Linked DNA regions of Anolis sagrei. The protein of the gene in region 2 purifies or fractionates together with the protein of the main gene of each other region. This does not show direct contact. Links are inferred from orthologs where the notes say so. Each region holds a gene or a part of one and is shown on either strand. Other genes may lie near its edges.

Region 1 (3,751 bases), on a different chromosome or scaffold from region 2:
TTTTGCAGAATGTTAGATGGGAGGGAGCTGATCTTATATCCCTGGGAAGGGTGTTCCATAGCCGAGGGGCCACCACCAAGAAGGCCCTGTCTCGTCCCCACCAAACGCATCTGTGAGGAAGGCAGGATCGAGAGCAGGGCCTCCCCAGACGATCTTAAAGCCCTATGGTTTATAAGGAGAGATACATTCGGATAGGTAAGCAGGCAAAAAACCCAGAAAAACTTCCTTGTACTTCAGATATTAAAGTAAAGGTAAAGGTTTCCCCTTGACATTAAGCCTAGTCGTGTCAGACTCTGCGGGGTGGTGCTCATCTCCATTTCTAAGCCGAAGAGCCGGCTTTGTCCATAGACGCCTCCAAGGTCATGCAGCCAGCATGACTGCATGGAGCACCGTTACCTTCCCACAGATCTCACATTTGCATGTTTTCGAACTGTTAGGTTGGCAGAAGCAGGGGCTATCAGTGGGAGCTCACCCCGCTCCCCGTTAACCTTTTGGTCAGCAAGTTTAGCAGCTCAGCAGTTTAACCCACTGCGCAGATACTATGCAACCATTAAAAAAGAAAAGAAAAAGAAGCAAAAAAAAATCAGACGCAAACACCAAAAACCTGCTTTACCATCAATATTTTTTTCCTTACCCCCTTCATGGATTATGTTTAAAATGAAAATACCAAGAAGTGTAATCGTGAAGGTCTTAAGGGAATACACAGAAACCAGCTATTTTCAATGATTCCAACCACGAGAGCCTTCAACAACACAAACCAGCAAATGCCAACACAAATATACAAAAAAGAAAGAAAAAAAAACATTCAGAGTCAGTCCCACCGAGGCTCCTTCCACACAGCCATATAACTCAGAATATCAAGGTAGATAATCCCCAATATCTGGTTTGAACTGGGTTATCTGAGTCCACACTCACATAAGGTGGGATTTTCTGCCTTGATATTCTAGGATATAGGGCTGTGTGGAAGGGCCCAGAGGCTCCTTCCACAGACATATAACCCAGAATATCAAGGCAGATAATCCACAATATCTACTTTGAACTGGGTTATCTGAGTCCACACTGCCATACAACCCAGTTCAGAGCAAGTAATATAGGATTTTGTATAGCTGTGTGAAAGGGGCCTAGAGGCTCCTTCTGCACTGCCATATAATCCAGATTATCAAAGCAGAAAATCCATAACGTTTGTTTTGAACTGGATTTTATGAGTGTACACTTCTATATAATCCAGCTCAAAGAAGATAATCTAGATTGTATATGGCAGTGTTGAAGGGGCCTCAGTGGCTGAGGGGGGAAAGGAAGGGGCCTGAGGCTGTGAGGAATGGTGGGAGTTGAAGTCCAAAACCCCTGGAGGGCCCAAGTTTGCTCATATCTGCTTTCTTGTATTTGGAAATTTCTCAATCATGATGAGAAAAGGCGTCCTGGGCATACTTTCCAAGAACAGGAAGTCGCCCCCACTTCCCTCCCTCCCTCGCTTCCTGCCGGATTCCCTCTCTTCTTCCCGCGCTTTTCTTTTCTTGTCGGAGGGCAACATTTCTGGCCTTCCCCGCCGCCTCCCCTTTAAGCGCAGGACGCCGTTACTAAGGCGGAGGGCAGGGCGCGCAAACTGAATCCGTCCGGCGGCAACAATCGCGGCGAGGCTTCGTTCCGCTGGGACTCTTTCGGCAACATGGCGTTTTCTTGCTTGGTAAGGGCAGAAGGGGGGAAACGGGGGAAGGAGAAGCTGGCCCCACTGGCAACAGGGCTTGGAAATGGCAAGGCAGGGGAGTGGAGTGGGAGAAGAGCCGGGGGGAGGCCTGACTAAGTCCCTCCCCTTTGCTGCCTGGGAGTTGTAACTTCTCAGGCCCCTTCCACACATGATCTGCTTTGAGCTGGAATATATAGCAGTGTGGACTCAGATAACCCAGTTCAAAGCAGATATTGTGGGATTTTCTGCCTTGATATTCTGGATTATATGGCTGTGTGGAAGGGCCCTCACAGAGGAGGAAGAGAGGTGCAAGGGAGAACCAGAGAGTCATTTGGAAAGGAAGAGTTTATTAGTTTGGGAAACATACCTTTCACATGTATTTATATCCCGCATTCTCTATCTCAAAAGAGACTCGGTGCCCTTCCACACAGCCATAAAACCCAGAATATAAAGGCAGAAAATCCCACATTAAGTGTGGACACAGATAACCCAGTTCAACTATGTGCTATGCTAATAATATAATATTTATAATTTTTTTTGTCGTGTCAGGAGCGACTTGAGAGACTGCAAGTCGCTTCTGGTGTGAGAGAATTGGCCATCTGCAAGGGCCAATTCTCTCACACCAGGGTTGGCTTGACACGCCTTCCTATTGGCACCCTCCATAGGTGCCTCTTCAAATTCCACGGCATTGCTGGTCACAACTGACCTCCAGTTAGAATGCTCAGGGGCCAGGGCTTCTCAGTTCTCGGTGTCTATGCCACAGTTTTTAAGGTTAGCTTTAAGCCCATCTTTAAATCTCTTTTCCTATCCACCAACATTTATTTATTTATATATATACACCGCTTTTCTCAGCCCTCAGGCAACTCAAAGTGGTGAACTACATCAATACAAAACATCACGAGACAAGTATAGGGCAATTAAAAACAATTGTAACATAAATCATTAAACATCCGTATAACAATCATTAGCGCCTCAACAGTAAAATCGGAATCCAGTCTCGTTATCCATTATTCCGTATTCCTATGTTCAATTATACTGTTTAATCAAATGCTTGTTCGAACAGCTCCTCCGAAACCCCAGCAGGAAGGGGGCCAATCTGATATCTGCAGTCAGGGCATTCCACAGCCGAGGGGCCACCACTGAGAAGGCCCTGTCTCTTGTCCCTGCCAAGCGCACCTGTGATGCAGGCGGGACAGAGTGCAGGGCCTCTCCAGATGATCTTAGTGTCCTAGCCGGTTCATAGGAGGAGATGCGTTCGGAGAGGTAAGTAGGGCCAGAACCGTTTAGGGCTTTCTGTTTTCTGTTCTTGAATTGGGAGTATAGAAGCTGCTTCAGGCATTCGGACAATGTAGCTAGTCCAGCTGAGTTGATGGAAAAAGGACCATCTCTTCAATGCTGGTGGTCTTTGTTTCTTCCAGCACACTGGCATTTGTCCACCTGCCTTCCCAAGAGATTTGCATGATTTTTCAGAGGCAATGCTGATGGACTTGTTCCAGGAGTTGAGTGTGACTTCTGTAGACAGTCCACATTTTGCAGGCATATAACAGGGTTGGGAGGACAATAACTTTATAAATAAACACCTTGGTCTCCCTACGGATGTTCCGATCCTCTAACACTCTCTGCTTCATTAGGAAAAATGCTGCACTCACAGAGCTCAGGCGGTGTTGTATTTCAGTGTCAATGCTGACGTTTGTGCAGAGGTGGCTGTCAAGGTAGCAGAAATGGTCAAAGTAGATATTGTGCGATTTTATTCAGCTGTGCGGAAGAGGCCTAATCAAAGCATCCAAAACGCAGTCCTCTCCTTTCTCTTTAGTATTAAGTTCAGCTAACTTTTTCTCATAGTTTTCTTAGCTGACCAACGTAATGTGCAGGCCTCTTTGAAGGCCAGAATAGAAATAAATACTCAGGCCTCTGCCACACAGCTGTATAAAATCCACACTGAACTGGCAGTGTACACTCAGATAACCCAGGGCCCTTTCACACAGCCATATAGCCCAGAACATCAAGGCAGAAAATCCAAAAATACCTGCTTTGAACTGGGTGATCTGAATCCACACTGCCATATAT
Region 2 (3,751 bases):
GATGTAGAGAAAGAGGGAAGGAAAGAGGGAAGAAAAGAGACAGCAGAAGAGAAAGAAAAAGGGGGAAGGAAGGAAAGAGATAGAGAAGGAAGGAAGAAGAGAAGGAAAGACGGGAAGGAAGGAAGGAAGGAAGGAGTGAAGGAAGGAGGGAAAGAAGGAGAGAAAGAGGGAAGGTTGGCCACAGCAACGCGTGGCGGGTACAGCTAGTATAGAATAGATTCATAGAGTTAGAAGAGGCCACAAGGGCCACCCAGTCCAACCCCCTGCTACGCAGGAATACACCATCCAAGCATTCCTGACAGATGACCATCCAGCCTCTGCTTTTAAAAGGCCTTCTAAGAAGGAGAGTCCATCATACTCCAAGACAGCATATTCCACTGCCAAACAGTTCTTACCATCAGGAATGTATAAGGTGTATATGAAACATACATTAATTTTGTGTATAACTTGGATCTCATCTCCAAGACTTCTCATTTGGGACATGTACACTTCTGATCTCCTGCATTTCAGATAAAGGATACCTAGAATCTTGAGGGATGCTTATCTTTACCAATGCTAACTAGATGGGTGATTAGAAAGCAAAAAGGTTACTGAGATTTGGGCAGAAGTGAAGGGATCTGTGTGAATTGCAGGCATGGGCAAACTTGGGCCCTCCAGGTGTTTTGGACTCCAAGACCCACCATTCCTAACAGCCAGGAGCTCCTGCCTTAAGTGGCTGAGGGGAGAAAGGAAAGGGCCCGAGGCTGTTAGGAATTGTGGGAGTTGAAGCCCAAAACACCTGGAGGGCCCAAGTTTGCCCATGGTGTATTGGAAGGAAGCTTGCTCCTTTGCCAAACATGGGTCCCTTTTCTCTCAAAATATTGGGTGGAGATACCTTGTGTGACTGTCTTTTGCACAGATACGCCAGCACTTCTCCATAAGGACAGAGAAGGTATACTGGGAAGAAACAAGAGAAGCGAGATGGAGAAAAAGTCCTGGAGATGGGTGCCAAGAGATGGAGATGCAAGCAGGGGCTGTGCGCTCCCGGCATGCTGGCCCTTTAAGAGACCAGCCCTCCCAGCTCTGACAGTTCCCAGGGCGATGGCTCTGTTAAAAAGCTCTGAGCCGCTGCATCTTCAATTCATTGTGTGCCCACATCCGCTACAGAGGCTGCAGGTGAGAGCTCAGGGTTGGGGGCTAAAGGGAGAGGGGCTTTGGGTTGGGGAGAGGGCAGTGCCAACGCATAGCTGTGGGGATGCTGACTGGCAAAGCGGTGAGAGTGTGGGTCATTTTTGTCCTTTTAATGTGCAAAGCTTTGCATGGTGATGTTCTGCAGAATCCAGAAATGTGGATCGTGCAACTTATATGATCATTTGAGACCCTGGGAAACTACCCCCCCCCCCCCCCAAATCCTGTGGTTCATTCCATTTTTGGAGATTGCATGGTCCTGCTGAATTGAGAATTAGGGATTCATTTCTTCTCAGGTCAGTGGCTAGAAGCCCTTTGGATGCATGTCTATGAATTGCCTTGCTAATATGGAAGAGTGTCGAATTTGGGACTGATGCAACTACTCATCAAATCATAAAGTGAAGAAAGTGGTTGTGGGCAATTTTTACCCCAGGATTTTATTTCTCCTCATACGATTTGCAAGGATCAAATAGAACACTATCCATGCAATTCGGAGCTCCTGGCATGAGGGTTTAGTGGATACATTTTCCCATCCTGTTCCAGTGTTTGGCTTGACTCTGTTGGAGAGCCATCTTAACTATTTTGATAGGTTGAGGCTTACTTACAAGGATGAAAACCCTGTTGAACCTTATGGAGACTATATCAGAATTAGATAGCACAGGATGGGGCATCATGTAGTTCATTGCAGACTTGGAGGCATCTTTGGGATGGGTTGGCTGGTAAGCTCATATGACACTCTCTTCATTCTTTTTCCTCAATGGCTGTAAGATAATGTCTTAGCCTGGATAGCAATGGAGCTCAAGAATGTGGTGTAGCTGAGAAAGCTGGTGGCATGTTCGTAGCTTAAAAAAAAGCTAAAGCCAGAGTTTTCCCATAGAAAAGTTCTGTTGAGGTACAGAGACAGAACTGTGGTTGAGATAGTGAGTTGGGACTAAGGGCTGGCCCATCTCTGTGATCAAATCCCCCCAACAGCAACTCTGTGACCCTCTGCACATTAACTCTTTTGCAGGAACCATGAGCCGTAAAGTCGTGAGGTCCAGCAAGTTCCGCCATGTTTACGGACAGCCAGCCAAGGCTGACCAGTGCTACGACGACATCCGTGTCTCTCAGATGACCTGGGATGGGAATTTCTGCTCTGTCAACCCCAAATTCCTGGCCATTGTCGTGGAGGCCAGTGGCGGAGGAGCCTTCTTAGTCTTGCCGTTAGCTAAGGTACCTGAGAACCCCTTAAAAAACGATACCCCTAGTGCTTTTCCAACCACCCAGTAATTAATTAATTCTTCATTTCCTCAATGTTATTTTGCCTATTCAACTCCAAATTATAATTACATGTATTAGCCCTGCCCAACCTCCCCCCCCCCCCCCCCAAACTGTGTTTCCGGGGAACGGAAGATGATGATAGGGAGGAGGAACCAAAGACTTGTGAAACTGCCGAAACGACAGATCTTTTTTGGCAGGTTCTTTTTTGCCTTAAATGGCCCGAAGTGTGAACCTGCTGCGGAAATAGGGCCTTGAGAAAGAGGAAGTGGGTTAGTGGGTTTGGTGCAGGCAGAGCGGGAAGGAAACGAGGAGAGGGGTTGGTAACACAAGTTCTTGCTTTGCTTTGTGTGTTGGCTCCAGTTCCATGTTCACCTAAGTTTATTTGACCCCACAATTGAGATGCCAAAGAACCCATGGCCTTTGACTCTCAGATACATAATTTATGCTCTCACCCATCCATGAAAAAAAATCCCAGAAATTATTAATCTGTGAATTCCATATTCCTCCACGTTTCATATCCTGTTCAGAGGTTGGGGAAATAGCTTGTTAGGCCGTAATGCGTGGATTCTCCCAATCAGGTCTAGGAGATTCTGGGTCCTGCAGCCCAAGAGGTTCATTTTGAATTCTTATACAGGTCTTTTATTGAAATGCTCTGGGTTGTGTTCCCATTGTACAGCAGAACCCAGTCCTTGCTTCCCCTACTTTTTGTGATTCATTCCTAGGCTCAGTTTTCCTCCCACTTTCGCTGAGTTGTTTCTGGGTCTTTTGTCTATTTGAGGCCTTGACAGGTCCACGGTTTGGTCCACAGTACAATTGTACTTTTCAAAGATTTGAAAAAGAACCTGGTTACATAGGGCATGATGTACTGTGGGTCCATTATTTCTTTCTATGGCTACTAAGTTTAGAGATTTGAATTAAAGCTGGGCCTGTTTCACCCAATTTCCTCCACAAAGATCTTGTGCTTGCCCCTAGGATATGTCTCATGATTCCAGCGTGATGTGGGAACGAGGGACACATTCATGCTCTTCAGAGAAAGCCTAACACAGAGCAGAGCTGCGGCAGCGGGGGGAGTCAGAGGGAAAAACCACATGAGTTTTGTTTCTAGCACTCTTGCTGGGAAAACAGCCCCAAGTGCCTTTCCCCAGCCAGGCAAATGGCCCTTGTTTTTGACCTTTTGTCCTTATTTTCTTACTGGGCCTTTGCCCAGGTTGCGGTTCTGGCTCCTTCACTGGGTGGATGGCAGAACGACATATGTAGAGACAAGAAATGAACATCTTTGATCACCAGAAAAGTGGCTTGGATGGGAGATGATTTTCAGAGCTTC

The links.
Region 1: the proteins of CORO1A (region 2) and POC1A purify together in Homo sapiens (affinity purification with mass spectrometry; 3 studies listed by BioGRID and IntAct, counting the BioPlex papers as one, with this or other methods). This does not show direct contact. The link is inferred for Anolis sagrei from reciprocal best matches to the Homo sapiens genes CORO1A and POC1A.

The regions. Positions count from the first base shown.
Region 1 is NC_090022.1:69,061,176-69,064,926, reverse strand, and holds the start of POC1A (POC1 centriolar protein homolog A), read left to right. Parts: upstream 1-1,507; 5' UTR 1,508-1,666; coding exon 1,667-1,684; intron 1,685-3,751.
Region 2 is NC_090026.1:17,575,862-17,579,612, forward strand, and holds the start of CORO1A (coronin-1A), read left to right. Parts: upstream 1-1,028; 5' UTR 1,029-1,155; intron 1,156-2,176; 5' UTR 2,177-2,181; coding exon 2,182-2,379; intron 2,380-3,751. UniProt on the Homo sapiens protein: May be a crucial component of the cytoskeleton of highly motile cells, functioning both in the invagination of large pieces of plasma membrane, as well as in forming protrusions of the plasma membrane involved in cell locomotion.